4 linked regions of the Notamacropus eugenii genome follow. The protein of the gene in region 2 binds, or shares a complex with, the protein of the main gene of each other region. Links are inferred from orthologs where the notes say so. Each region holds a gene or a part of one and is shown on either strand. Other genes may lie near its edges. The genes, in order: NDUFAF1, ECSIT, TMEM186 and TMEM126B.

Region 1 (7,393 bases), on a different chromosome or scaffold from region 2:
CTACTGAGTGGATATATATATGTATGTATAGATGTATATGTATACAAATGTATATATGTATGTGTGTGTGTGTGTGTGTGCATGTGTGTGTATGTATATGTATATGTATATGTTCTTCCCTCTTTTAACCAGTTCTGATGAGAGGTTCAAGCATTGCCTACCTCCCTCTCATTTTCCCTTCCCTTGTAAAAGCTCTTCCTTGAGCTTCTCTTTTTGTGAGAAAATTTTCTCCATTCTACCTCTCCATTCACTCTTCTCCTACTGCATCCCTCTTTTTCACCCACCCCTTCAGTTTTTGTAAGCTCATTCCCATGATCTTCCCAGCTTACGCCCATATGCTCTGTCTATGTAAATTCCTTTTAACCTCCCTAATAATGATAAAAATCTTAGGAGTAGTTCAGGTTTTTGAGGAAGTGGGGGTAGAGATGTCACTGAATTTTCAAGGACTATTGATGGGTGTCATCTCCACAAGGGTTGCTTCCTGGACTACGTCTGGATTGGAAGAAGAGAGAGTGGTTTGGGGAGTGTTGCTATTGGCGGGGATTTTGGGCAAAAGGGTCCTGGATTATACCCACCCAGGTCTGAGGGCAAGTGGTAGTTAAGGCAAAAATTATAATGACAGGAGGAGATACAGTCACCTAAAATGTTTGTTTTGCTAAACATAGGCATTTAGTACATATTTGTTAAATCGAAATGGAGGAATCCATTAAATTGAAGGATGAAGCCATGATGACAAGTGGTAGGAACTGATGAAGCTGAGCTCTTCTCTACATATATATATCAAAATGGATCAGACAAAATCCTGATGGGAAAATCCTGAAAAAGTTTCAGTGAGTCATCTGTCCAGCCCAGCTTTGCATAGAGAGACAGAAAGAGGTTTACAAACACTGATGTGCTGAGCTTAAGTAGGACAGGAACATACTAGTACAGAGCACTCCAATATGCAAGAGAAAGCTATGTACTGGGGAAGGGGAGATGTCAGACTCATACTGAGGCACTGTGATGGGGAAACTTACCCACTAGCAGATTTGTAGCCCACTACTAGTTGAGTTATTGTAATGGCAAATAAAGTAGGATCTTTTGCTGTTTTTTCTTTAGTATAATCAAGTACCTCTGATTGATTAAAGAAGATTTTCCCCACCCATTAATGGACCTGGGAAGATTTGTAGGAAGGCCCACACCTTTTGTAATGAGGCACTGGTTCTCAAGGGTTGTGATACCCTCTGCCTCTGAGAAAGGTATAAGTACTCTGAGGTGAGGTTTTACCTTGGGGCTTACTGATTGGAAGTGTTTTGTTTGGCCAGAGGAGACTCTGGGCAGCTGCTAAGGAGCTCCCCCACTTTGAAAATCCAGATGTTGGTGCTTCTCTCTCTGGTAACTATTTTGTATGGTCAGACAGTCTATTGATCTCTGAAGTATGTATTGCTTATGCCAGGGCAGCTGGAAGCACTGTCTGTTGATCTGTATTTCTCTGTATTTTCTCTGAAATTTAGAGTGCTGACTTTTTCCCCTGAACTAAATGAATGATAAATATGTGCTTGGTTAAAATGATTGTTAACCCCTGAAAATTGCTTTTCTTTTAGAAATGTAGATCTAAGAACCTGTGATAGCAGGCTGTCCTGTGTATGTTGGGGAACTTGCTTTCACAGTCGTAAATCTAGCCTGAATATGGAAGCGGTGTTTGAGTAGTGGGCCAAGAAAGAAGAAAGTTTATTCAGTTCAGAAGTAAGCAGCAGCAACCGAGGTACAGCTTAAACCAGGGATGGGAAACCTGCAGCCTTGAGGCCACATTTGTCCTATAAAACAAAAGAGATTTGTGCTGTGTTCTGTGAAGTTTGGAGTCAAAGGGCTGCACTTAAGGATCTAAAGGGCCACATGTGGCCTCAAGGCTACAGGTTCCCCTCCCCTGGTTTAGCCTCCAGGAACAGGGTAGAGACCCAATTCCAGCATCTAGCCCCGCCTGCAGAAGAATAACCAGGGCAGAAATCCCAGATCAAAAGAGAAACCTACAATTCTGCCACTGTGAACCACCACAATTGTCCAGCTGACTGATAAGGGCTGAATCCAGCAGCAGGCTGCTCTTGCTTGGACCCAAACCCAAGTCAGGAACTTGCAGAGCTCAGATCAGAGCAGCAGCAATCAGACTCTGCCCTGGATGGGAACACCACAGGAGCACTGAAAGCTTTCAGCTCTCCAGCCTGTCCCTGAGATCCTAGAATATGACAACCCTCAATAACCTAAGAAAGCAGGAATAAGAACAGCTTGGACCTTCCCTCCAGGAAGTAGGATGTAAGAATGGACAAACAAAAAACAGAACCACATCATAATGAACTATTATGAGGGCAGAGAAGTGCAAGGCACAAATGCAGAAAAAGAGAATGAATTAAAAACATATACAAGTAAAGTTTCAGAGAAAAACATAGACTGGACAAAAAATCAACTAGAATTCCTGGAAGAGATGAAGAAAGAATTAAAAAATGTTTTTATAGATGAAATCAAAGCACTTGCCTTCCACATCCAGAGAAAGAACTATGGAATTGGATCGCAGAATGAAGCAGACTCTTCTCTCTTGTGTTATGTTTTGTTTTGTTTGAGTTTTTCTCATGGTTTCTCCCATTCATTTTAATTTTTTTATGCAACATGACTAAAGTGAAAATATGTTTAATAAGAATGTATGTGTAGAACCCATATAAGATTGCACGCCATTGTGGGGAAGGAGGGGGAGAAAATCTAAGACTTATAGAAATGATTGTAGAAAGCTGTAAACAAATTTTAAAAATTAGTGACACCTGGAAAATAAACAAATAAATAATATGCATATAAACTCTTTAAAAAATTAGCTTCCTACCTACTTCCTGACAGACCAGGGGATGGACTCTGAGTATAGAATGAGACTTTTTTTGGACATGGTCAATGCAGGAATTTGCTTTTTTTGATTCTACTGCTTGTAACATCTCACTTTTCTTGCTTTCTGAATGTGGATGGAGGTTAGCTGGAAAGGAGAGAATGTGGACCTACAAATAAAACATAATTGGATTAGAAAAATCAATCAAAAAGAAAAAATAGCATCCTCCTTTAAGAAAAGAGTAAATTTGTATCACAGTTAACATAACAAAAACATTCTTTTAAAGGCTAAAAAAAAGTGCTTGAGGAAAAAATTGGAAAAGAAATGACAGCCATGTAAGAAAGAATTGGAAAGAGAATGAACAGCATGGTACAACAGTTTCCAAACTTTACCCAATCAACAAACTCCTTGAAAATTAAAATAGACCAAATAGGAGCTAATAACTTCATGAGGTAACAAAAAATATATTTAAAAAATATAAAAATACTGAAAAAAATAGCAAAAACAACTGACCTGGAAATCGGATTGAGGAGAAAAAAATTAAGAATCTGAACACAATGACCAGAAAAAAACAAGCCTAGATGTCTTATGTCAAGAAAAGAAAACTGTCCAGATCTCTTAAGAATCCAGCAGTCACCTCTTGAAACCTCCCAATGACAACTTCCAGGGATCTCATAGTCAGAATCCAGAGTTTCCAAATCAAAGGAAAAAAAAATACTGTAAGCAGCCAGAATAGAAAGAAGTCAAATACCAGGGAGCTACAGTCAGAATCACACACTAGCAGCCGCAACTAAAAGGAGAGAAAAGAACTTGAAATATAATATTCCAGGAAGCAAAGAATTGGGGCTTATTGCCCCAAAACTGTAAAACTTAATATAATGCTAAAAGGCAAAAAAATGGGAGGATGAGGAGGGTTTTGCCTGATTAGACAATAAAATATTTTTTAAAATGGAAATGGAATTGGTGGGGGAGAGCCCACCAATTGGATTTTTTGACTCAAAAAGATAAAATTGAATAAAATAAAACAAACAAAATTTGTTAAAAGATTGAAATTGAGAGAATCCAGTTTGGAAAAGGAAAGCCAAAGAAAACCTGAAGCACGTGGAGGACCACAGGGGTGGTCTAGGCTTTAACGGTCATGGGAATACTGTCTTTAACGATAATTAGCACTTGAACGTTTGCCAAAGTCTTTACAACGATTACCTCATTGGATCGTCTCAATATGCTCCCGAAGGCTGGTGCTCCTGTCATCCCCATTTTACAGATGAGAACACTGAGGCAGATACAGGTTTGCCCTGACTGGCTCTGCCAGCAGGGGGTCTCCTTCTGAACTTGAACTCAGGTCAGTCTGGCTTCGTGTCCAACGCTGTATCTCCTGCGCCACCTAGCGGTTCTAAAGTCTAGAGGGACGTCCTACGTAATCTTTCTAGCAGGGCATTAAAAAAAACCCCCAGCTCTGACGTGATTGGGCGTCATCCATCTCCAATAGGCGGAACTCTTTATGCTTGGGAGTGCGTGCGGCGGCGGACGCTAATCTGCGTAGGACGCAGGCGCGGGCGGAAGTCACTCTTTGAAGCCGGGAGAGGATCGAGAGGGAAGGTGAGCTGCGCCCGCAAAGCGAAGGAGAGTCATGTGAGGTGTCTTAGGGGGAACGCGATAGGTGTCGGACCACGGACTTCCGGCCTCGGAAGGAGGCTGATTCGCGAGAGTTAGGGGTCAGCCCCGCACCCCAGACTGGGCGGGGGAAGGGGATGTCAGGGCTCCCGGTCCCTTACGAGTAGCTAAGCTGCGGCCTGCCGGTCTCCACTGCCCGGAAGTGGCCTTCATTCTTCGGAGGATCCTAGATTTGTGGCTGGAAGGGACGCAGAAGTCTTCCAGCCCTACGTCCTCGTTTTACGGGTGAGCACGCCGAGGCCCCTGGGGTTGCGTGTTCAAGGTCACAGAGGTGGTAACTAGGGAATGACGGGGGCAGAATTCGAACCCAGGACTTTTATTAATGGAGTTTCAGATCCCCTATTTCCGACTTGATGGGGCAGGGGAGGTCAGAGCTGGTAGTGTTCCTGCTTGCTGGGGTTGCGGAGGGTTGTGTTATCCCAGGATCTCAGGGACAGTGCCCCCGGGGCGCTCCCCTGGTCAGAGCTCTGGGCTCGGGTCCGAGCCGGGGCAGCCCGCTGTCAGCCAGCTGGACGGTTGTGGGGGTTCCCAGGGGCAGAAGTGTAGACCTCCCTTTGGTTTCTGCCCTGGTTATTCTTCTGCAGGCAGGGCCAGACGCCGGGCCACACTGCTGCTGGTGCTGGCTTCTTAGAAAATCCATTTATTTTTAATTTACAGCATTCAGTTCCACGAGCCTCTGAGTTCCAGAATTTCTCCCCCTCCCTTTCTGCCCCCTCTCCAAGAGGGCATGCAGTCTAATGTAGGTTCTACGCAGACATTCATATTAAACATGAATTCGTGTTGCTGAGAAGAGCCGAGTCTGTCCAAGGTGGTCATCACCCAGTGTGGCTGTAACTGGGTGCAGTGTTCTCTGGTTCTGCCCCCCTCGCTCAGCATCAGTTCCTACAGGTTTTCCAGAAGTCCTCCCGCTCATCATTTCTGATAGCATAGTAGTATTCCATTACATTCATATACCACATCTTGTTCAGTCTTTCCCCAATGGATGGGCATTCCCCTCAATTTCCACTGAATTTCTTTCTTGATACCACCCTGGGCCTCCCTCCTGGGAAACAGCGCTACTGTGCACAGATACCCTTCATATTCTGTCCTGGATCGTCGCCCTGGGATTGGACCGTGTGCAGCTAGACTGCCAGCTGGCACCTGTCCCCATCTCTGTGCCCCATTGTGGGTCTGGGACTTCCTTTGGTGCTGGTATATGGCCTCCTGCTAGTGTCGTGCCAACCTCTCTGTCTGCCTGTGCAGACCTGGGCCTGGCAAAGGACTTGCTATGACGTTTTCTGAACTTCTCCATCAGGATTTGGTTCGGTACATTTTATAGATGTGTTTGGAGAGACTAACAGGAACCCACTTGCATTGTTTCCTTCTACCTAACCATCTTGGCTTCACCCCCAATTTTCTTTATGTTTTATGGAACTTAGTAAGATGATTGTAAGATTTCCAGTTAACCTTAGGCTCAGGAAGGTGTGGGTTACTGTGTTGCATTTTACAGAGTCTGGTTACATTTGAAAGACAGGATAAGTTTGTTGCTAATTTGGTAACTTCTGTATTTTTTCTCTTGTTACAGGTAGAGCTGGACTTGTAGCTGAAAATCTTTTCCCTGGTAAATTCTGGAGAATTTTATGATTTGAATTGCTTCTACCATGGCTTTACTTCAGAAGCTGCTAAATGGCATTCATTTTCCTAAATTATGCGGGATGCAAGATACTGCACGATGCTTTTTGTTGGGGCCTGGATTTTCTGATTCTCCCTCCCGACTGTACAGTAGTATTAAAAAAACAGAGGCTGCTTCAGATAGATCTTCCCCTGAGGAAAAGACTGAAGGCATATTGGAAAAACAAACTAAGGGTGAGGTTGGTTTAGACCTAATTTCACCTAAGGAAAAGGTTGAAATTATTTTTGACAAAGCAATTAGGGCTGAGATAAAAGACCATTTTAAACTTTTAGCAAAGGAGGTGGTAGACCGTTGGATAGGACCTGAAGGTCGCCCTTTGCATCAAGTTTTACTGGAAAATACTAGGGTAATGTGGCAGTTTCGCAGTGATGAAGATTTGAATAAGTGGCTGGTGACATCGGACAGGACAATAGGAGGCAGAAGCAAAGCCTTCCTGAAAATGGCCAGCAATAACCAAAGCGCACTCTTCTATGGGATTCTCAATACTGAAATTCCTCATGATGGGGAGACTCAACGAAGTGGATACTGTGCACTGACATCCAGGATTCCAAGGGTAGGTGAGATAGTCAAGCTCTTTGGCTCTCTGAAGTCCCCTTCTCTGCAGTCTCCATGGTAGCACATTGCTTTTATTTATGGTGAGGGAAATACACAGAGTATCCTGAGCAGAGGACTCTAATTTATACTGAGGGACACATTTACACCACTGAAATTAAAGGGAAAAAAGCATTCTTAAAGCTTAAAAGCATTCTTAGAAAGTCCCAAATTACTAGTTGACTAGCCCTTATTTTCTAGCTTGGTCATTTGGGCCAGAGTAGATCATTCCAGTATCAGAAAAGCCCAGTGTATCCAGGGTGGTTTTAGAAAAGGTGGATGAAGATTTGAGTATGTGTTTTGTGGGCCCCTGACTCAGCTTTAAAGTAGGATCCCTCCACCCGCCCACCTCTGGCTCTTCTTAGAGGGAGTCCAGATCTTCAGGATCTTCTGAGGAATTATCAGACTGGGAATTGGTTAGGGCTGTCCTGCACCAGACTCCCACACTTGGTTTGGGTTGCACTTGGATAATTCTTAGCAGATCGGGAGACACACTGGCAGGAACTTACTTGCTTCAGTTTGTGTTGTATCATATCGCTACTCTGAAGTTTGAGCTTGGGGTCATCCTGTACTCTTCCTTCTTATTGACTTTCCTATTTCCAGATAGTTGC
Region 2 (6,921 bases):
CCACAGGTAGCTTGCCTATCCTACCTCCATCGGGTGGGGTTTCCTAGGGGGGACCTCATTCCTTTCCTAAAGGAGAGGCAGTAAACTACAGGTGAAAGATAACTGGAACTGGAGTTTAAAAATGAGATTTGCATTCTGGTTGTTATTTATAGATATAACCTTGAATTCTTAGCTCTCAACCTCTCTGGACTTCAGTTCCTTACTTGAATACTTGGTCCTGGGGTTTGTTATCTACAAAAGAGCCTAGCTGGCTCTGAAAAAACTCAAGCCTTCTCCTTCCTCTCCCCAATTTGTAATCCTGAGGCTCCAAAATCTTTCAATAGTATTGTCAAGGGAACTTCCATCTTCCCACTAACTTAAGTTCCCAACTGAAGCATTATCATTGACTCTACTTTCTCTCATATAACATATCCAAACCACTGCCAAATCTAACCAAGGATTCCCAGTACATCTACGGGCTCCTCCTTCTTTCCCACGATAGCCAACATCTGTATTAGGAAAAGGATTTTCTATCTTCAACACAAAGTTTTTTTTATGTTTGCTGAGGACATTTGTGTTCTTTTCCATTTATATTTTCAGATTTCCATTCCTAATTTTTCTCAGTCTCTCTGAGTACGGATGGCCTGAGAAACTGTTAAACATTCAACAGAACTTGCTGAAGGAAATGCTAGCCAGGAATGACACCAAAATTGAACGGCCACGTGAAGATTTATACTAAAGAGTCAGTTTTAGATGGAACTAAAGAAGGCAAGTGAATGGGGCACAACCAGAGGGAACCTGGTGCCTCCTCCTATCCCCCAACCTACTCAGGCCTGAAAAGAGGGAAACAGGATGAAAAACTGGAAGGGGTGATGGTTTTATACACTGTAAAACAATGATGTGGAGGTAGAGGACCTCTGAGAGAAGGCCAAGAGAGCTTAAATGGCTTATCCAAAGTTAGGCAAGTAGGTGATCTCTCTCCCTACCCCATCCCTTCTACCTGTAAAAGGCAGCTTCCTTCCAGCTGCCAAGGGCTGTGCCCTGGAGCAGCTCTGGAAAGGAAGGGGCGACCCACGGAGTGATCCCAGGCTAGGACAGCTCTCCGTACGCAGTTCATCCTGTTGCTGGCCATGGTCAGGAATTAATGGCAACCAGATGCCTACCTAATCCAAGGAAAGGATATGTGGTTAGCTGACCCAGAGAATGGCCTTGGAAACCTCCCTGTACACGTGCACATGCACATGTGTGCGTGTGCACATGCGTGCGTGTGCGTGCATGCATACACAAACACACCCCTCAGAATTATCCTCTTTCCCTCCTCAAATGCTCTTCTCTTCCAATATTTGATACTATTACAATGCCCAGGGTGTGTCCATCCTCTCACTAACCTAGGCTCCCAGCTTTAGAGTACTCCTTGATCCCACTCTCCTCCAACATATCCAATCCATTGCCAAATCTTATCACTTCTATACTTCACAGCCTCTCTCCCGTACATCCCTTTCTCCCCAATTACACAGCATTACATTAGTTCAGGTTCTTACAGTCTTAAGCCTAGACTATTACAATAACTTCCTAACTGGTGTTTGTTCCTAATTCAAGTCTTTCACAAACCCAATCCATCCTCTGTTTGATGGTCAAAGTGATCTTTTTAAAGAGAAGGCTGGACCTGGTCACATCTACATCCTCAACAGATTTCAGTAGCTTCCTATTACCTCCAGGATGAAATATTCAAAATTCTTCATAGGTTGGTGCCTTCCTGCCTTTCTAGTCTACCTCTCTGAGTGAATGTAAATATTAAATAGTAACTGTTTCTCTTTTACCCAGGAACCCTAAGGGTCTTCCCCCACTCTCTTTTTGTTTTTGTTTTGTTTTGTTTGTTATTAGAAAGGCCATCCCTGGAGTAACTACTTGAAGCCTATTCATTGAATGGGTATATCTCACTCAAAGTGAGAATGTGATAAGACCTTAGCCTAAAAGGGCCAGGGTCTCCCATTGCATCCTGGGCCATCTCCAGTCATCCTGATGAACATCAGACCCGGATGTCTCAGGAGAAGAAAGTGAGGCTGGTGACCTTGCACACAAAGTCAACTGCAAGTCATGTCATCTTGATGTCACGGTCCTCTTCCAGAACAAAGGACAAACACAACAACCACCTCTCTGACCCAACTACTTTGTACTCCTTACTGTTTCTCAATGAGGGTATTCTGGCTGCCTCCCAAACCTGGAATGCTGTTTTTCCTCACTCCAGCCTCTTAATTTCCCTGGCTTCCTTCAAGCTTCAGCTGAAAGCCCTCTTCTACACAAAGTCTTTCCCCTCTGAGATTCCCTCCCATGTACTCAGTAATGAGCTTCGGGTTGGCGCCCCCGCCATGCTCCATAACAGCAGAGGCTGTTTTTGCTTTTCTCGGCGTCCCCGTGGGCGTGCAGGGCCTAGCACACAACAAGCACTTCATACACGCTTGATGCCCGCCCGACACACCTCCACAACGCCGGGGCTAGCACAGAGCGGCTGGGGGACAGCTTCGAGCCTGCGCCGGCTGGGGCACGGGGTTCACGGGCTCAGCCTCCCCCGCCCCTCCCCCCACTCGCACCGCGCGCTTCCTGCCTAGCCTGGGGCCTGGGTTTGGGACGGGGCTTTGGAGGGCCACACATCCACATCCACATGCACACGACACAATACGCACGTATACTCACGCGTGGGCACTTTTCCTTCGCACACTTACACACACAAACACACGCCGCCCCACTCCTCCCTTTCCCAAACGAGATCCAAGGGGAAAAGGTCACCATGTCCGCAGACCTGTGGCAAAGCGCGCTCGGAGGCCGGGCCGGGATCCGGAGGCCGGCGTCCGGGCCGGTTCTCGAGCTACGCGACGGCGATTCCCAGCCACAGCGCTTCTCAGCAGTCTCCGGCTCTACTAGACGGTATGGCTGGGAGCAGCCATGTTGGTCTTCAGAGCTTCCGGGTCACAGGTCACGGGGCGCCCGGCAGAGAGCGACCGGATTTCTCAGAGGAAAAAAAAAAAAAAAAAAAAAAATCTTTCAAGATCAGGAGCCAATGGGAAGACGTCATTTAGATAGTCCCGCCCACCATTTTTGAAAACCCCGCCCCAGGTCCGCCTACCCAGGTCTAAGCAAGAAGGCCGTTTCCGGCGCAGGCTGCACTTGGAGGGGCTTCCACCGCGTGCGCATCTCTTGGCTTCTGCGCTCCTCGCGTCAGGCCCATTAGGCCTCAGTTTGCTCATCTGCGAAATGGGTAGAAATTGAGGCGGCTGCGTGGTGATAAGTGAGCATGAGCCCAGCGTCTTTCCGGTCCGTGGCTGCCAGGACTGATAGGGACCCAGCCCCGGTGCAGCCCTGATGGACAGACAGATCCGGGGAGAAACACTGGATGGAGGGTTTCCGCATTTCTCCGGGGCTCTCCGAGCCCCGCCCTCGGCCAGTTTACAGCTGAATCCCCGAGGCGTCCAAAGGAGTTGATATGTTTGGTAGGATGTAGAACCCCAAGTCACCTTAGACTCCAGTTGTGCGCCCTCTTTTTTTAGGGATAGGAGACAGCAGTAATCACAGATGTTGATGACAAAGAGGTCGTTTTTTTCCCCACCCAAACAACGACCTTATGAGCAAGTGCTACAGACATTATCCCTATTTTTCGGTTGTCCTTTCCATCCCTACATCTTCTTTTATATATGCTGTCTCCTTCCTCCTAGTTCAGGCTCCCATCTCCTCTACCCTGGAGGATCACAATAACTTTCCCTTTTTATTTCTCTACTTCAATCCTGGATTCCCTTCAATCCACACACACACACACACACAGACACACACACACCATTCAATAAACTCCAGTGGTTTTATGTTACCTCTGGGATCATTTTGGGTATTTCACAAAATTTCAGAATCTGAGAGTTGGAAGAGAAGTCAATGACCATCTAATCCAATTTATGTAATCCTTACATACCTTTCTAGTGGTCATCCATTCTCTGCTTGAAGACTGCCAGGGATAAGGAAAACACCACCTCTGTGGTACCCATTACTCTTTTATATAATCTTAATCATTAGAAAGTTTTCCTGACATCTAGTCTAAATTATCTTCTTTGTAACTTGCTTCTGGTTCTGTCCTCTGAGGATAAACCACACTAGTCCAATCTCTCCTCTGCATCCATCCTTTAAATACTGCTTGAACACAGAGAGTCAAGGATCGGAAGATGGTGCTGTCTTCAACAGTCATAGGGAAGTTAGGAGCAAGGGAGAGTTTAAGGTGAAAAATGATGAGTTTAGTTTTGGACTTTTGAGGCCCCCCAAACGATGAATTAATCACCGAATGGAGTACACTAAGTATAAAGGAATTTTCCTAAACCTTTATGAAAATGTGTGTGGACAAGCCTTTTTTATCATTTCGAAAGGATCCTGGGGCTTTGGCCATTTGATGAAAGGCAAATGATGCCGCACAGGAAACAGTATAGGCTTGCCTGAAATGATCAAATGTGCCTCTAGACCTACATACAAAATAGCAAACTACTTCCAAATTTCATAGACCTACTGCAAGCCAATAAGGGGGTAGAAAAGCCCTTGAGAACAAAGAACAAAGTAGATAATAGAACAAAGTAGAAAAGAGAACAAAATTGAAAAGTGTCTCTCTCTTTTTCCCACTTTCAGGCTACCAGGATCAGGGAGAGTTTGAGGTCCTATCAAAAGTTTCACCAGCACAGTACAAAAGAGCTGGATACACAGTTAAGTACAGGAGTCACAAGGTTACCTACTTTTAGGCTTGAGGTGGAGATACCTAGGCAGAGATGGTATAAGCAATACATGTTCTGGTACACCTGTAGACTGAAAGCTGATGCTTTTCCTTCCCTTGGCACCTGAGCAGAACTGGAGGAGAGAGTACCCACAACAATGGAGAAGTGGCCAGACCCAGCAGAAAAGTAACCTCAAGTGTCAGAGGCTTACCCAACAGCAAACTGGCTCAGCCTAGTAGCAGCTTGACCTTTCCAGAAGAGCCCTGCAAAAAGCCAGTCGTGTTGGTAAACTCAACCATCACTCAGACCATCCCCTGCTATGAATTTCATGATGGATCCATGAAGGGAGAAAGAACTTCTAGTAACCAGGTGCCTCACCACCACTGTGCTCTTAAGTTTGAGCTCACTTTCCCAAGGACCTTGTGTGTGCAAAGGGAGGGTGTGCCCTATTAGTCCATCTGAGGAAAATATTTTACCAACTGTTTTTACTATACCTTTTTAGTAAATATTCTTGCTAAATGTAATTGAGGATACTGGCTAAAAATAACCATGAAGCACACTGGTGGGGGCTCAGGATCAACTGTGTTAGAAACCCTAGGGCTTCTGATTCCCCCAGAACCTTTTGAGGCGTAGCACTAGCAGCTACCTTCTGAAGGACCAGACTTGTCAATTCAAGTGGGAGTTAGGCAAGTGGTCCCAGAGGAAGTGTTACATTTCAGAAATCACTAATAGAGGCTCAGCCATCACATGTGACAGTTCTTTCAGGACCCAGACATGTAGTTCATCTGGATCATCAGGTAACTTGAATTCACCAAGGGGAATTAAGGACTCTCTTTTGGCTTATTTGGGGGTATGAGCGCCTTACTAGCTATATTTGTTCTTCTGTATTGGGTGCAAAGGTTCTTCTTGGCAGAGAAAAGAGAAACACAATAATCTAAATATTGTAAACAGGTCCCTTCCAGCCTTTCCAGTCTTATTTTACATTACTTTACTCCGCTCTCTCTCTGAGACCATATTGGCCTACTTGATGTTCCTCCCACATAACCTCCATCTCCCATCTCCATATCTTTGTACTGGCTGTTTTACTCATGCCTAGAGTGCTCTCCCTTTTCACTTTTATGTCTTGGAATTCCTAGTTTCCTTCAAGATTCAACCATCATCTACATGAAGCTTTTCCTGGGCCCCCCAATTCTTAGTGCCTTCCTTTCACAAATTACCTTAGGTATATTGTATACTATATGTATGTATGTATGTATGTATATGCATGTATACATATGTTCATAGCTGTGTACCTACACACATGTTGAATCCCCTGTTAGAATGTAAGCTCTTTGCAGGCAGGCATTGATTCACTTTTGTCTTTGTATCGCCAGCACAGTGCCTGGCACATAGTAAGCATTCAATAAATGTCTGTTGAATGATTAATTCTGGAAACTGAAATTCAGTGGCAAAGGTGAGGCTTGAACCAGGATGGGAGTCAACAGTGGGGGGAGTTCTTACGCTCCTAGCCTAATACTCTTTCCACTTCACTTTCCTCCTCATCCCACAACCTTTGAGGGCCTCAAATCCTTTCAGCCTCTCAGATCCAAGGCTCAGCTTCCCCAATACTCCAGATGCCCCAGGCTAAAAAAGGATAGGAAGGGCCAGGCAGCTGGCAATGTCTGCCCCAGAAGCCTCTTGGGACCCTGAGGCTATTCCAGTTGGGCCAGCATCTTCAAGAAGAGTAGTCATGGGTACCCGGCAGGGAGCCAGAATTCCTGAGAGGGGGACGCCAAGGTCAGCACTGGGAGCTCCCTGGAGAGTCAAGGGTATCCCTGCTCCAGATGGTGAGAGGTGTGTCCTCCGATTTGGATTGGCTGGTATGGCGGCAGGGCAGGGCTCCCGGGTAATGCTTCTGCAGTCCCAGCTTTTGAATCCTGACGTGCTGGATGACCCTTCTGGTCCATCCCGCCCACAGCAGTGAGTCATCTGTTCCCGGAACCTATGCGGCCTCCCCTCCTCCCAACACCCCACCACTTACTTCATCTGTCTTCCCAACCCAATGCCCATCGGCTCAGGTTGTCCTGGCTCCTTCAATCTACACACCTAAAAATGCACCACTGGTACCCGCAGTCTTCCAACCACCAGCACCCCTCTCTCTGAAGCAGGGAGTTGTCTCCCAACATTTTCTAACATACCTCCATCCTAAGTTCCCACAGCCCCT
Region 3 (7,163 bases), on a different chromosome or scaffold from region 2:
CATGAACAAACAACTCAACTCTCACAGCTTTTATTATACTGCAATATTTACAGTGTAACATTATTTTAATCTCTGAAAGGTTAAAAAAAAATCACAATTGTGATGTTATGCAAACCTCTGATTTCCATCCCGTTTCTGAGGAGTGCACAAAGCTGCCTTTCTGAGGGGGATGAAATAGCCACGTTTTATATTAGTCATGTCTTCCTCAAGCATCTACCACATATTAGCAGAGTAATACTTTCTTTCTGATAAACTGAACGTCATTAACATGCCATTATGGTCATTATAATCAGCCAACAGCAGAACAAGGACCACTGTGTCCTGACAATTTTCTCTCCAAAAATCAAACTGCCTTTTCCAGAAAAAGAATGAAAGTGGAAAAATCAATTCCCACTGCACCACTAAAACCAGTTTCACAGTTCCACTGAGTACTCCCTTTTCAAAGTTCAGCAACTTGTTCTACCAGAAACTTAGGTCGGCTTCTAGTTCACTTATCTCTTGATTTTGAAAGACAAGTGCTTGGCACACAGTAGATCCCTGTTGTGTGCCACCAGACACTCAACTTTCTGGTCTCTTAACCTCCCTCTCTAGTTTAAGCCCTGGGAGATATGCTTGGTGCAGGTCCAGTACAGGCATACTTGAGGCTACCATTCAAAGCTCCAGGGAAAGCACATTCCCCTAAGGTCCAGGTTTTCTTCCAAACCATCAGTGTTTTCCATCAAGTTTCCCAAACACTTGCACAAATCGTTTCCTATCCAGGATGTGTCCAAAACGCAATGTTAAGTAGAAGGTCTGATCACTATTGTACTGCTGGATCTTCAAGAACACATCAAAGGCACGTTCACTGGTCTCAGATACAGGAATTATGTCGGCCACCGGACAATATGTGTCTTGACGCCGGCCCCAGAAGGTCAGGTGTGCCACGCGCAACACAGTGCCAGCCTCGTTCACATAAAGGATTCCAACAAGCCGACGAAAGAAATGACTAATCCAGTACAACATGGCTAGGGCAAAGCTAGCAACACCTCCTGTGAAAGACAGGGAGTCCAGGGGAATGAAGCCCTGCATGTACCAATAACAGGACAGTGGCAATATTACCATAGTAATCCCTGTCTGCAGAATCTTCACCCGGGACAGTGATCCACAGAATCTGATGCCAGGAAAGCGATAAATCATCTGGAATTTTTCAGCCTCTATGGTTGATGGTTTATCAGGGGATGTGGAGACAGGCCTGCCCACATACAAACTGGGAACTTGCATCTTGCAAAACCAAGGCCTTGACTGCAACATCACTACCCAACGAATTGGGAAACCAGCTTTGAAGATGGTAACCTGGAAGGGAAAAGAATGACCTCTCACAAATCCCAATACATAGTAACAGGGAAGTCAAATCCTTGCCCTCAGGGGTATATAGCATATACACAAGGAAGTAGATACAAAGATTAATAATAATACAGATAATATGAATTTCCCAGGCTAACAACCCAGATGTTAATCTCAACTCCTCACTCTCACCTCCCATAACCCGTAAATTGTCCATTTCTGTTGATTCCACCTTGCTCGCAGCTCACATTTGCCCCGTTATCTCCTCTGACAAGGTCAACACTCTGGTGTAGATTACCACATGCTACTGAGCCTACGGCCTGCTAGCTGGTCTCCCTGCCTCAAGTCTCTCCCCACCCCAGTTCATCCTCCACTCACGTATCAGTGATCTTCTTAAGGCCCAGGGCTAACCTCATCACTTCAAAACTTGGCCCCATACTCTGTGATCCAGTGACTCTGGTGTCCTCAAACTAAACACTAGAAATTCCTTCCTTCCTTGTCTATTTTTAAGTCCCAGCTAAAATCTGACCTGTCCACGCCCCCCAGTCTACAGGAAGCTTTTCCTAATTCTTCTTAATTCTAGTGCCTTTCCTCTGCCATTTTCAATTTATCCTGTGTATAACGTTTATACACAGTTGTTTCCATTTTCTTTCTCCTATTAGAGCATGCGCTCCTTGAGGGCAGGGACTATTTTTTTGGGAGGGGGGGATTGGCTAATCTCGTGCACAGCCATTACTCTCAGACTGATCTGATGCAGAAGGCATTAATAAGTAGGCTGGAAGGGATTACTGGAATCCCTTATTAGATGATTTCTGACATGACCCTTGAAGGAAGCGAAAGAGTCTAAAAGAAGCAGAGGTGAGGAAAGAAGAGCGTTTTAGGCATTGTTACCCAAAGACGTCACTCTAATGATATTATCTAATGATTAATTTCCTGCAGTCCATGCAGAGTTCCATCAAGAAGGCCTGTTGGGCCGCAACGTCCCAAACCCAGGTAAGGGAGGGCAGAGTGCTTATCTGGGGCGCCGCGAGGGGCAGGGGTAGTGGGGTAGGTCAAAGAACAGCCCAGTTAAGGGGCGCCGAGGGCCCGAGGGCTGCAGCCTTCAGGGCGGGTCTGCAGCACCAGGAACCACGGGGGCTTCGGGACTAGACTGGGATAAAAGACCTCGAACGGGAAGGCGAGCGGAGGACGGGGCCCGTAGCCCGGCCCTCTTTAAGGACCTACGTGTCCTGTACGTGGCTACTTTGTATACATTTCTGGTACGCTGGGTGAGCTCTGGGAGGACCGGAACTGTCTCAGGCCTCAGCACAACAGCCCATGGTAGGGGCCTAATAAATGGTTATGGAAGGTACTCCATTGAACTGACTTCACGACGTCACGAGGTGACACGGGGCCTTAGGCCTGAGGTTTTGCCCTTGCCCGCAGACGAGGGGGGGGGAGGGGTTTCTTCCCGCCTACGGAAGATGGGGTAATTAGGTTCGGACTCCCGCTAGTGGATCTCTCCCACTTGCCTACACTCGGAAACCCAGCTGCTCACCATGGTACCGCCGCCCGCTTCCGGAAGCGAACCTGCTCCGTCCTCCGGAACTACTTGGCTCCGCGGCGTGCGTGTCCTGACCTCTATGGGTCGTAGCTCAGGGAGGGATGGGATATATTGGGGGCTTTGCATTCTGGGAGTTGTAGTTCCGCGGGTCGTCGTGCGCTCTAGAAGAGGTTTAGAGGTGCGACTTGGCAGCCTCTGATCTTTCACCTTCCCGACGTGCCCCGCGGCTCGTGAGGCAAATCCGGGAAGCTTGGAGCGCCAGCGCGTCCCGTCGTGCTGGTGAGCCGAGGTGTCGGGATGGCGGCTTCGGCGTCTGTCCTCTGCCTCTTCGACGTCGACGGGACCCTCACCGCCCCACGACAGGCAAGCAGAGCCCGAGCCCGCCCCCTGCGGCCGCCTGCTTCTCGGAGCCTCTGTTTCCCCGTGTGCGGCGGAGGGGGAGAAGAAGGGGGAGGGGAAGAGGCCCGGCGCCTCGGGGCAGGGAACGGGAGGGGCCGGTAACCCGTGGGGTCCTAGCGCTTGGGAGCACCCGTGATCCGGACCGACCAGTCACCTCGTTTTACTGACGAAGACACTGAGGCCCAACCTCACCTGGCTAATAGGCAGCATTGCCGGCATTCGAACCCCTAGCCCCGGGCTCCGGATCCCAGACGGCTTCGGCTCCCCGTGGCCTGTGTGTAGCACGGGCGGCCTCCACACCTCGCTCTCCCTTTGGAGAAGGGCTCCGACCCGGTCTGGGTGGTGGCTCTGGGGGCGTGATTGTGCCGCCGCTGACCAGGCGCCCGCTGCGGACCTGGGGAGGTAGGGTGGTGGTGGCTGGCACTTAGAGAGCGCTTTACAGGTGTGCGCTGTTTCCTGTCGCGGCTCGAGGCCACCCTGTTCTGTGGGTGCAGTGGTTATCTCACTTTACAGATGGGGATGCTGAGGCAGAGAGGTCTGCCTAGCTAACGTGCGTGTGCCCAAGAAGACCCCACCATCAGAGGAAGGATGACAGGACTCGCACTTGACCTTGTTCTGAGTGAGGGAGGGCTGTGCAGGGCACCAGCCTCACTGCTCCTCCAGAGCCATCTGGATCCAGTGACCAGAGATTCATCCAGTGACTGGAGATGACCCAGGATGAGGCAGTTGGGGTTAAGTGACTTGCCCAAGGTCGCACAGGTAGTGAGTGTCAAGTGTCTGAGGTGAGATTTGAACTCAGGGCCTCCTGCACTGCACCACCTGGCTGCCCCTGCATAGCTAATAATGCCTCCATCAAGCACTAACTTCACGCAGTAATGAAGAATTCTAATTCCTCAATTATGTGTGGCAGTAATTTAATAGGACAAGATAATTTATAATTTAATAGCACAAGATAAGACCATGCACAACTAAGTGTGCTGTAAGAAAGAATGTAGTTAAGTGCAAAGGAGAAATCCAGACCAAAAGAAAATTTTTTTAATTGAGAACGAGATTACTGTCAACTGGGGGGATAATCGGCAAAGGTGTCTTAGAGAATGTCTAAGTTCTCTTGACGTTCTTCAAGAAATGGAGTTGGTATGTGAAGAGAATCTCTTCCAGGCATGGAGTCTGAGCAAACAAGGCAAAAACTCCTGAATAGAACTGAGCAAAGTCACTGTTATTGGAAAGTACATGTTAGTATAGAGGGTGAGGTGGGTAGATAGATAAGGCATTTGGGATGTAAAGATCCCTGCCGTCAAGGTTCATGCATTTTATTTGGGGAACAGCATGTACGCGTACATTCATGTACATTCATGTACCGATGAATATAAAACATATACAGAATAACTTAGTGGAAGACAGGGTGCAGAATGTGGAGCACTAATTAGGAAAATCAGAAAATATCTCTTGTGGAAAGTGTCACTTGAGTAGAGACTTGAAACGAGCTAGGCTTCCAAGAGGCAGAAATAAGGAAAGAGAGCATTGTACACACAGGGGAGTCCGTGCAGTGGCAGAGTTGGGAGACAGAATGTCTTGTTCACGGAACCAGATTGGGAAAATCCCTAAGTGCTAGAGAGGTTTTTTTTCCCTAGAGAGCCCTTGAAGTTTCTTGAATAGAGATGGTGATATGGTCAGGCATGTGCTTTAGACTTACAGTTTGGCACCTGTGTGAAGGACGTAGCAGAAAGTCTAAATGCAGTGGAACCAACTAGGAAGTTATTGCAATAATCCTGGGGACAGATGATGAAGACCTAAGTTGTTACGGTTTAAGTTGAGAGAAGGTGGGAACAGGAGGCTTAAAAGTAGAAACAAGCATTGACAACTGATTGGATATGGGAATGGAAACCATGTGAGGAGTGTTGAAAACCTGTCAGATAAGGAAGAGTAAAAGAATTGGTATATAACTGAGAGATCCCAGTTTAGATCAGCCAACATCAGATTGTGGTAGACCCAGTCATCCAGGTTGTAACTTCCTTGTAGTACTTGGACAGGAATGGAGGAAGTAATCCACGGCTGGGGTTTAGAAAGGATTGAGCAGCAATAATAAAGAGATTCCAGGTTAGAGGACAGTGTAAAGATGAACTGATAAAATAAGACTTTTGAAGGGAGAAAAGTAAGACCAGACAAGATTGATGACCTGGGAGAGCAGGAAGTGTTGAGGTCTGAGGGGTGCTGGGAACCCCAAAGGACCAACATGCCAGGGCCTGCTCGAATGAATTCGACACAAGCCAAAGAAAAACAAAGTTTATTAAATATTCGCCATATTGGTTGACTTTTAAGGAGCCTGAGCATTTGTAACTCTTGTATTCACAAGTAGGCCGGATAGACAGAGTCTGAACTGGATTGAATCTGAGTGCCTTCATGGAGGCAAGATGGAACTTAAATACAAAAAAAGACTGTAGGAGGGATCTGGAAGTGGTCTGTTGGTCTATCTAGGGTGATGGGAGGAGGGGGTTTAGAGAGGGTCTTGAGGAGAAGTCCTAGGAGCATCTCAGTGGGACTGGGGTGACTAGTCAAGGGTTAAAAACAGCTGAAGGCAATCAGGAGATATCAGGCTTTGGAGGGCTTGGGTGGGAAGCAAGTGGGGCAATCCAGAGGTGACAGACAATGGAAGGCCCAGGCTAGGCCCAGGACAACAGATTTGAATATGAAAGGCCAGATTAAGTGGGAAAATTCCAGGGAGTTCAGGGAGGTTCCAGAGTCTGAACCCCATAAGAAGGGGTGAAATGATTAGAGGTTACACTGAGGATAGAGTATAAGTTTAGAAGGGGGAAGGAAGACACATAGGAGGTTGTGGTCAGAGAGTGCAATCTGAAAGTTACAGATTGGGAAGGTGGATGATAATGAGATCAGGAGCTTTTGAGACTTCATCAGTATGTAAACTGAAGCCCCCAAATATAAGGGCAGAAGTTGGAGTGGAGAGGAAAGTTACCCATCAGGTGCTTTAAGAATTTGCTCTTCTCTCGGCCCATGTCAAAGACGGATAAATTAACTTTTCAACCAAACAACTCTTTATGAGTTAGAGAGGGTTCCTTGAAGTCTCCATTGGTCAGAGGAGTAGTAAGAATCATGGCTCAGTGAAGTATTGAAAATTGAGGGCAGGGCAGTCAGGGAGTAATTGGATTAGTAAATATCTACATAGGACAGCATTATCCAGAGCTCCAAAATTTCCTCAAGAGATACATGGTACATTGTGAACCAGGGACTGCAATGGACTGGACATAAGTCTGTGCTCACTTGAACTCTACACCTGCCATTCATTTACTCTCCTTCATTCAGTTTTCTAGGACAGGTATTATTCTCATTATTTGGGTAAGGAAACTAAAGCACCGAATGACTAGGTAACTTCTCCAGTCATTCATTTAATGCAGATCTGTCTGAAACAGGACCCTGGGTCTCATAAGCCATTGATACTTTTACATTAGCAGAACATTTAATGAGCCCCTTCTGTTGCACCTGCAGAATAATAATACTGTATTATACTAATGTGGAGAGGCCTGAAATACAAAGGAAATGTAAGTTATAGGTACTTGAGTAGACTACCTCTTTTGTACCTTAAATATTTTCCTCATACACAAGCACAGGTCACTTTTTTTGATGGGGAGGAGGGTGAAATTTGCATGTTAGAGTGGTTAAGGTCAGAAGAAAAGACTTTGCACCTTAATTTCCAGTTACTTGGAATTGGCTTCCTGGAGGATAGTGTGGGAGAGGGAGCTTGAAAACTTGAAATTGAAGCAGGATATACCATTGAAAGAAACACTTATGGTTGATGATATGAATTATAGTAATTATTAGCAATAGAACTGTTTTCCCCCTTACAACAACCCCATGAGTTAGGGAGAATTAACTTTATTTTTCA
Region 4 (7,003 bases), on a different chromosome or scaffold from region 2:
TCAACTGAAATTACTGGCTTTAAAATTACTAGTAACCTCTTACTTACCCAATCTAAAGGCCTTTTATTTATATTTTTTTGGTTGTGAGGATCAGATGAGATCATATTTGAAAAATGTTTTGTAAACTTTAAAGCACCCTATAAATGATGACAATTATTATTAGTTTAACCTAAGATCAAAGCAACATTCCTGGCTGCCATGTCAAGTGCTGAATGCCATTGTTTTTTTATTTATTTAAAAAAATTTTTTCCCTCCAAATTTATTTGTTTTCAATTTTCAACAATCACTTCCATAAGCGATAATAATCATAATTTTCTCCCCTTCCCTCCCTAATGACCTCTTCTTAATCCTCATCTTTCTTAACCTCTTTGCAGCCTCTCATCACCTTCTTCTCCATGATAATCTTTTCCTTCTGGGTTTTCGTGACACTTGTCTCCTGGTTTTCCTCCTACCTGTCCAACTGCTCCTTCTCCAGCTCCTTTGCTGGATCTTTATTCAGATCATGCCCACTAACCATGAGAATACTTCAAGGCTCTATCTTGGGCCCTTTTCTCTTCTTTCTCTATACTATTTTGCTTGGGGTATCTCATCAAATCCCATGGATTTAATGATCATTTCTATGCAGATGATTTTCAGATCTATTTATCCAGTCTTAAACTTTCTCCTGACCTTCAGTCTCACATCTTCTGGATATCTTAAAGTCCTAAAACTCAACGTGTCCTGAACACTCCCCAAGCCCCGCCCTCTTCAGAACTTTCCTTTTATTGTCAAGGGCACCACCATGCTCCCAGTCATCCAGGCTCTAAACCTATATGTCATCCTTGATTTCACACTTTCTATTATCGTTCCACATCTAATTTGTTGCCACGTCCTGTCGATCCTACCTTTAACATCTCACCTCTCTCCTCTGATAGTCACCCCTCTGGTACAGGCCTTTATCTCTTCCTACCTGGAATTACTGAAAGCCAGTCAATAAACATTTACTAAGTTTCAGGCACCGTTCTAAGCACTAGAGATACAGAAAAATACAACAGACAGTTCCTGCCTTTGAAGACCTCACAGTCTAATAGAGAGACAGCTCACAATCTAATGGGAAGATACAACAACTATGTACCAACTTTGTACAGGATAAACGGAATAATAAACAGAGGGAAGGCACTAGCACTAAAAACGTGTGGGAACTTACTTTTTTGGGGTGGGGGGAGTTGGCTGTCACAGGGGCACCACTGGCTATAATGTATAACATGCAGCTCAAAGTGCTTTGTGCCTTAATAAGATGATTTATTGTCCTCATTTTACAGAGGATCTTTTCTTCCTTCTTTTTCTCTCTCTCTAGTTCACACAGAGTATCACACCCTTACGTGCAGGTGCTCTGCCCAAAGGGAATGTAAATTTTAATCTCTGAATTTTTTTTTTCTTCTAGAAGACCAGTCTTAACCCCAAATCACTTAGGCTCTCATAGACTGGCCAACAATAGGTCCCAGGCCAAGCCCTACTTGGTCACAGCCCTGACTGACTCAGAATGAATGTAAGTAGCAATTATTTTTATTTTGGATGGAAACCCTAAGGGTCTTCCCCTCCCAGATCTGTTTTTTTTAAAGTAGTTATTCTTTGCCAAATTTTTTATTAAGCCTTAATCACTGAATGGACATTGCCTCAGTCAAACTGAGACCAGTTAAAGACCTTGGCTGGAAAAGGCCCCCACTGCATCCAGGGCCACCTCCAGCTGTCCTGACCTACATCTGGCTCCTGGACTGAGATGGTTCTAGAGAAGAAAGCGAGGCTGGTGACTTTGCACAGCTCTCCCTCACTTAAATCCAATTCACTTGCATATCACGGCATCACCTCTTGACGTCACGGTCCTCTTCCAGAACCAAGCAGCAACAGTGGATGAAACTGAAGCTCAGAAAAGGGGCTTGCCAGCTGAATACAAGATCAGCATTTCAACCTGGGTCTTCTGACTATAAAACCAGGAGACTTTCTATTATACCAGACTTGCCCGAATTTAACAGTTACACAAGAGAATCACAGTCTCACCGTTAGAGGGAACTTCTGCAGTCACCTAGTCAAATTTGCCTTTGTAAAAAAAAATTCAATTTAGTTTTCCCAACTTCTATCACAACTACTACAAACATTTATATCAGGCATTCTGTGTGCCGGCTCCTGCTAAGCACTTTACAATTATTATCTCATCTGGTCCTCATAACAACTCTGGGTCCTCATAACAACCATTATCCCCCCCCCCTTTTTTTTTTTTTTTACAGATGAGTAAACTGAGGTAACGGGCTAAATAACTCGCCCAGAGCCCCAGTGAGGAGATGTCTGCAGCTGACTCCTGCTTTCTAAAATACAGTCTCCTCCATCGCTTCCCTGACAGATGGTCACCCAGTTGTCTGCTACGTGGATGTGGACGGAGGGCCCGGGGCTTGCAGGCAGGGAGCTAAGTTCGAATCCTGCCCAAAGGCACTTCCGGGAGGTTTGCCCCTAGATACGTCACTATTTCTCTGGGCCTCAGTGTCCCCATCTGTAAAGTAAGGAAAGTGGGCTCCATGACCTCTAGGACCCTTCCACTCCACATTTAGGATGCTCTGATGAGGGATGCAGAATTTTCCTTCTAGGAGAGCAGCTTATCAAACACGGTTCTAAGCCCGAGGGGCCTGTCACGTGCCCTGCATCGGTCCCGGGGTGGCCTGAGAGGAAACAAGCCCCCTCGGAGCCTCGACTTCCCCCACTAGAGATAAGGACGCGTTCGCACGGCCTACCCCACAGACCAGCTCGGAGGGCTGGGCCAGGCTTACGGTCGGACCCCCACGACTGCGGCGGCTTGCCCACGCCGACACCTCTGCTACGTCTCCACGCGCAGCCCGCTCACCGAGAGTCCCGCCGCTCACACCTGGGCGCCGCCATCTTGCGCGCTCACATGACCCACAGTGGCCCCCGTCCCTCCCGAGCTCTGGCCCCAGGCCCCGCCTCTTACCCCAGCCCCAGCACGAGGGGGAGGGAGGCCCGCCCACTACGGTCAAATGCCGCGCCCTCTCTTCCGATTCCCATTGGTCTCCGCTGCCCCGGAACCGGGGCCGTTCATTGGTCTGTGGGAGAAGCCGGGCGGGTCGCTCCCGCCCACCTGGCGTTGGCCGGGCAACCACTCCGCTCTCTTCTCCCCCTCCCTTTTTCAGGACGAGCCCGCCCCTCCTCCCTCAGCCCCCACCTGCCTTCAGGCCTGGGTCCCCCCTTTGGCTGTCGTGGACCCGAGCGGACCGGGGTCTCGCGTCTCCCCAACCCGGATGCAACCCCATCTCGAGCCCTCCTATGTCAGCCGAGCCCCTGCCTGCTCCCCCCTGCCCCACAAAGGAAGTGGCTTGGTGGGGGGCGATGACAGACCCCAGCCCGTCCGGGAGGCTCTCCCATCCCCCCGCGCCCCAGTGGGGGACCCCCGGGGCGTAGTCGTGCACCCCCCCGCCCCAGGCATCCTAGCCAACGTAGCCCCAGCGGAGCCCGCACCTCCTTCCATCTTCCAGAAGCCCCTAACGCGAGTTACATAACTGCTGCTCCTGCCGCCTCTCCTTGCTCCTCTCAGACAAGGCAGGGGTGTGGGCACCGGGGCTGGGGCACGGTGTGTGTGTGTGGCGGCCAAACGGCCCCCCAAAAGGTCTCTCCCCCTTTGTGCCAGGGGCTACGGTGCGGGTAGGGCTGGGGGCACGGAGCGGGCAGAGTGCCGGGCTGGCGCTGCCGAGATCTCCGAGGCAGCCCGGGGAAGGTCCGGGTGGTGGAGGTGGTGGTGGTGTTTCCTTTGGAGAAAGGGGGTCTTGTGTTTTTCCTCACCCCAGGCAGCTGCTTGGATGAGAGGAGATGGCATGATGTGAATGGCTCCAGGGTGAGGAAGGCTGCGCCGCCAACTCACACTGCACCCAGTGCCCACTGAGAGCGCTGCCACTTTAACGTCTCCATGCCAGAGCGGCGCTTTCCTGCTCCCTCGCTTAATACATGGGAGGATCAGAGTGGCATTCATTAGAGAACAAGCCTGGGTAGCTCGGGCAGCAGAGAAGGGGAAAAAGGAAAGGGACTGGACCTGGATGCTGTCTGATCTGAGGGAGCGAGATCGGAAACTTCTTATTCCCTGAATAGAAATCGGCCTTTCGGTCCCGGGGGCACATCTCAAACTCACCCAACCTTTTCAGAAATCAGAGGCAAAGAACTTTGCTTTTTAAAAAAAGTTTTTCTTTTTTTTTTCCTGAAAAGTTCTCCTCCGTAGAACTGGGCATCTTTTATCATTAAATCTGGATGGCTTTGAAGTTGGTTTTGTAGAGTAGTGAGAGTTGTTTAAATTTGGGTTGTGCCTTGAGTCATTAAACTTACACCAAATTTGCTGCCTGAAGAGGAATTCTAATAATGTTTTCTATACCAACAATAATGTTCTCAGTTTTTTTATAGATTAAGAAATATTTTATAAGAATTGAAAGACAATTTTGTGAAACTCCAGTCTTTTTTTTTCCCTTCTAAATTCTGTGGGAGGTGTTAAAAGTTTAATTGTGGAAAAAATATTCAACATTACTTCATATCTTGGTGAAAATGAAGACTGAGCTTGGATTTCAAGACTGAGCGGCCGAAGTACTTTGCCACAGCCACCTAGCTCTTGGCTTCAGCCCAGTTGGATAAAGTTGATACCTAAACAAGTCCTTGAATCCAGTGACTGCAGAGAGATCCAAGAATGCCAGTCAAGAAGAAAGGTGGGCTATGAAGCTTCCTATCTAATATTTGTATCTTCTGTTTTGTTTGGTTCTGGTACTTGTCATTTAAATTGTTTTGCATTTGAGAAGGAAACTCTTGCTTCAGTTGGGGCAGCTCTCTATTTATTATGGTAACACATGGTTAGTGTCACACTCTACAATGCTGTTACCAAAATGAAGTTGTGCTAAAATAAGTAGTTAGTTGTGATTTCATCCCTTAGACAATCTGCAGGCATTATTTGTAATAAATAGATTCAATGCTAAAATTTCACTTTTTCTAGCAATGTCTTTGGTATTACTCATGAATGTAATATAATTAAACTAAATAGCTTGTAAACTACAACAGTAAAGTTGTATATTTGTGTTGGTACAGAATAAAATGGTAGATTTGCAGTATATCTTTTATTTTCTAAGCAAAAACAGACAACTTTTACATTTGGGTTCACTCCAGTATAAATTTTCAATTAGAAAATGTGACTGAGCATATCATTGGCAAGTGATGAAGTTTTAAGTTGGACTCATCAGTTCCATGCGTTAGGAAGTTCCTAAGTAGGAATTTTCTCATCTTTCATCCCCTAAATTCTAGTCTGATCCTGAATACGTGTTGGATTGGGTGAGATTTGGTGTTCTACTTCACTGTGGAGCACAATGCTTGGCACACAGTAAACTTCGCCTAGTAAATGCTTGTTGACTGACTGCCTGGGAGGAGATTTGGGGTTGATGCAGTGGACAGAGCACTGAACCTGGAGTTGGGAAGACCTGAGTTCAAATACAGCCTCAGACGTTTTCTAGTTGTATGACCTTGGGAAAGCCACTTAACCTCTGGTCTGTCTCAGTTTCCTTATCTGTAAAATATGGATAATAATGGCACCTACCTCCCAGGGTTGTTGTGAGGATCAAATGAGACTATTTATAAAGTCCTTTGTTATGTAAATGCTGGTTATTATTACTCTGCTATGATCTGGTCTGTTATAAGTATGTTTTCAGAAATTCTGAATCAAACAATAAATGAACATCCAACGGCTAAAAGCATCATTCATGCTGGTCAACATGCATACAAATACAACAATATGGGCAAGTCATTTGACTTGCTGTATTTTGACACCTGTAATATTATGGTTTAATTCTGGGCCCAAATTGATTATGTGTCCAAGAGAATTGCTCCAAAGGTTCAACCTGGCTCTGTATTCTGCGTAAGTCGAAGGACTAGGGGAGAGCTAGATCAGTTCTAGAACCTTTTAAAAATAGTCACCTGAAAGGCAATGTATGCTCCCAAGAGAGCCCCCGATTTGACCCTTTCTTATCAAGGTTTTAGATTGGGAGATGCCCTGAAAGTGGTTCAGATTTCTTAGGATAACCAGTAGATTTTAGGTGACCCATGGGAACCTCATACCATATCCACCATAAATCTAACCTAAAGAACGAATCTGCCTGGAAACCAGACAGGCTTTGGTATTATAATTAATTATCCTTTTGGATTTTTGAGTCCTACTTTCAATTTTACTCTTCTTACTCCTTTGTCTTTCCCCCATCTATTATATTTGTGTCCTTATTTCCCTGTTCTTAAAAAGTTAGCGACTGTACAAAGAATAATAGATATTACTTGCATGTTAATGAGGAGCCAAGAAGAGAAGAGTGGCAAGTTGAAGTAGGTACAATGGTCTAGGAAAAACAGGTTAGCTAAAAAAAAAATGAGTTTAATGTTTAAAAATTACTCAGGTTTTGAGTTTGTGTAAAGTTATTTTCTTCTTAAGAACAGGTTTATAGATAGCTAATAAACATATATGAAAGTTGTTCATACATCCTAAGAAAGTTGAATGTTTTAGTTTTTATTTTTCTTGAAACAAATGGTTGATTCTAAAATGCATCAATGTTTTTTAGGGAATCAAAGTTTGTATTAACATATTGCATCAAATATGTATTTGATTATTGCTTAAGGCATGATGGACCATGTAATTCACATTCTGAAATGGCTTATTTGGAGACATTTATTATGTTCATGTGTTTTTAAGTGTTCATGATATTGACATACTTTTCAACATTAAAGACTACTATCCAAACACTTCATTGCATCATTGAATCATTGGATCTTGTATTCCAAAGGGATCTTAGAGGTCATCTAAGCTAATCTCACACTCAGGCTAGAACTTTCTTTACAGTATCCTGGAAATGTATTCCTGTAGTTTGTGTTTAAACACTGCCAACCTATATTCCTTCTTGGAAAAATCTAATTGTTATATAGTTCTTCCTTGTTATTGAACCTAAATCTCCTTCCC

What was found.
Region 1: ECSIT (region 2) and NDUFAF1 share a complex: the UniProt entries of both Homo sapiens proteins name them as parts of the mitochondrial complex. The link is inferred for Notamacropus eugenii from reciprocal best matches to the Homo sapiens genes ECSIT and NDUFAF1.
Region 3: ECSIT (region 2) and TMEM186 share a complex: the UniProt entries of both Homo sapiens proteins name them as parts of the mitochondrial complex. The link is inferred for Notamacropus eugenii from reciprocal best matches to the Homo sapiens genes ECSIT and TMEM186.
Region 4: ECSIT (region 2) and TMEM126B share a complex: the UniProt entries of both Homo sapiens proteins name them as parts of the mitochondrial complex. The link is inferred for Notamacropus eugenii from reciprocal best matches to the Homo sapiens genes ECSIT and TMEM126B.

The regions. Positions count from the first base shown.
Region 1 is NC_092878.1:27,496,344-27,503,736, reverse strand, and holds the start of NDUFAF1 (complex I intermediate-associated protein 30, mitochondrial), read left to right. Parts: upstream 1-4,374; 5' UTR 4,375-4,744; intron 4,745-6,083; 5' UTR 6,084-6,159; coding exon 6,160-6,744; intron 6,745-7,393. UniProt on the Homo sapiens protein: As part of the MCIA complex, involved in the assembly of the mitochondrial complex I.
Region 2 is NC_092875.1:78,405,673-78,412,593, reverse strand, and holds the start of ECSIT (evolutionarily conserved signaling intermediate in Toll pathway, mitochondrial), read right to left. Parts: upstream 3,018-6,921; 5' UTR 2,780-3,017; intron 1,143-2,779; 5' UTR 1,112-1,142; coding exon 980-1,111; intron 1-979.
Region 3 is NC_092872.1:87,410,442-87,417,604, forward strand, and holds TMEM186 (transmembrane protein 186), read right to left. Parts: upstream 3,016-7,163; 5' UTR 2,993-3,015; coding exon 2,861-2,992; intron 1,333-2,860; coding exon 706-1,332; 3' UTR 15-705; downstream 1-14. Other genes in the region: PMM2 (phosphomannomutase 2), read left to right, coding at 3,164-3,229. UniProt on the Homo sapiens protein: As part of the MCIA complex, required for efficient assembly of the mitochondrial complex I.
Region 4 is NC_092876.1:115,835,775-115,842,777, forward strand, and holds the start of TMEM126B (complex I assembly factor TMEM126B, mitochondrial), read right to left. Parts: upstream 3,023-7,003; 5' UTR 2,763-3,022; intron 1-2,762. UniProt on the Homo sapiens protein: As part of the MCIA complex, involved in the assembly of the mitochondrial complex I. Participates in constructing the membrane arm of complex I.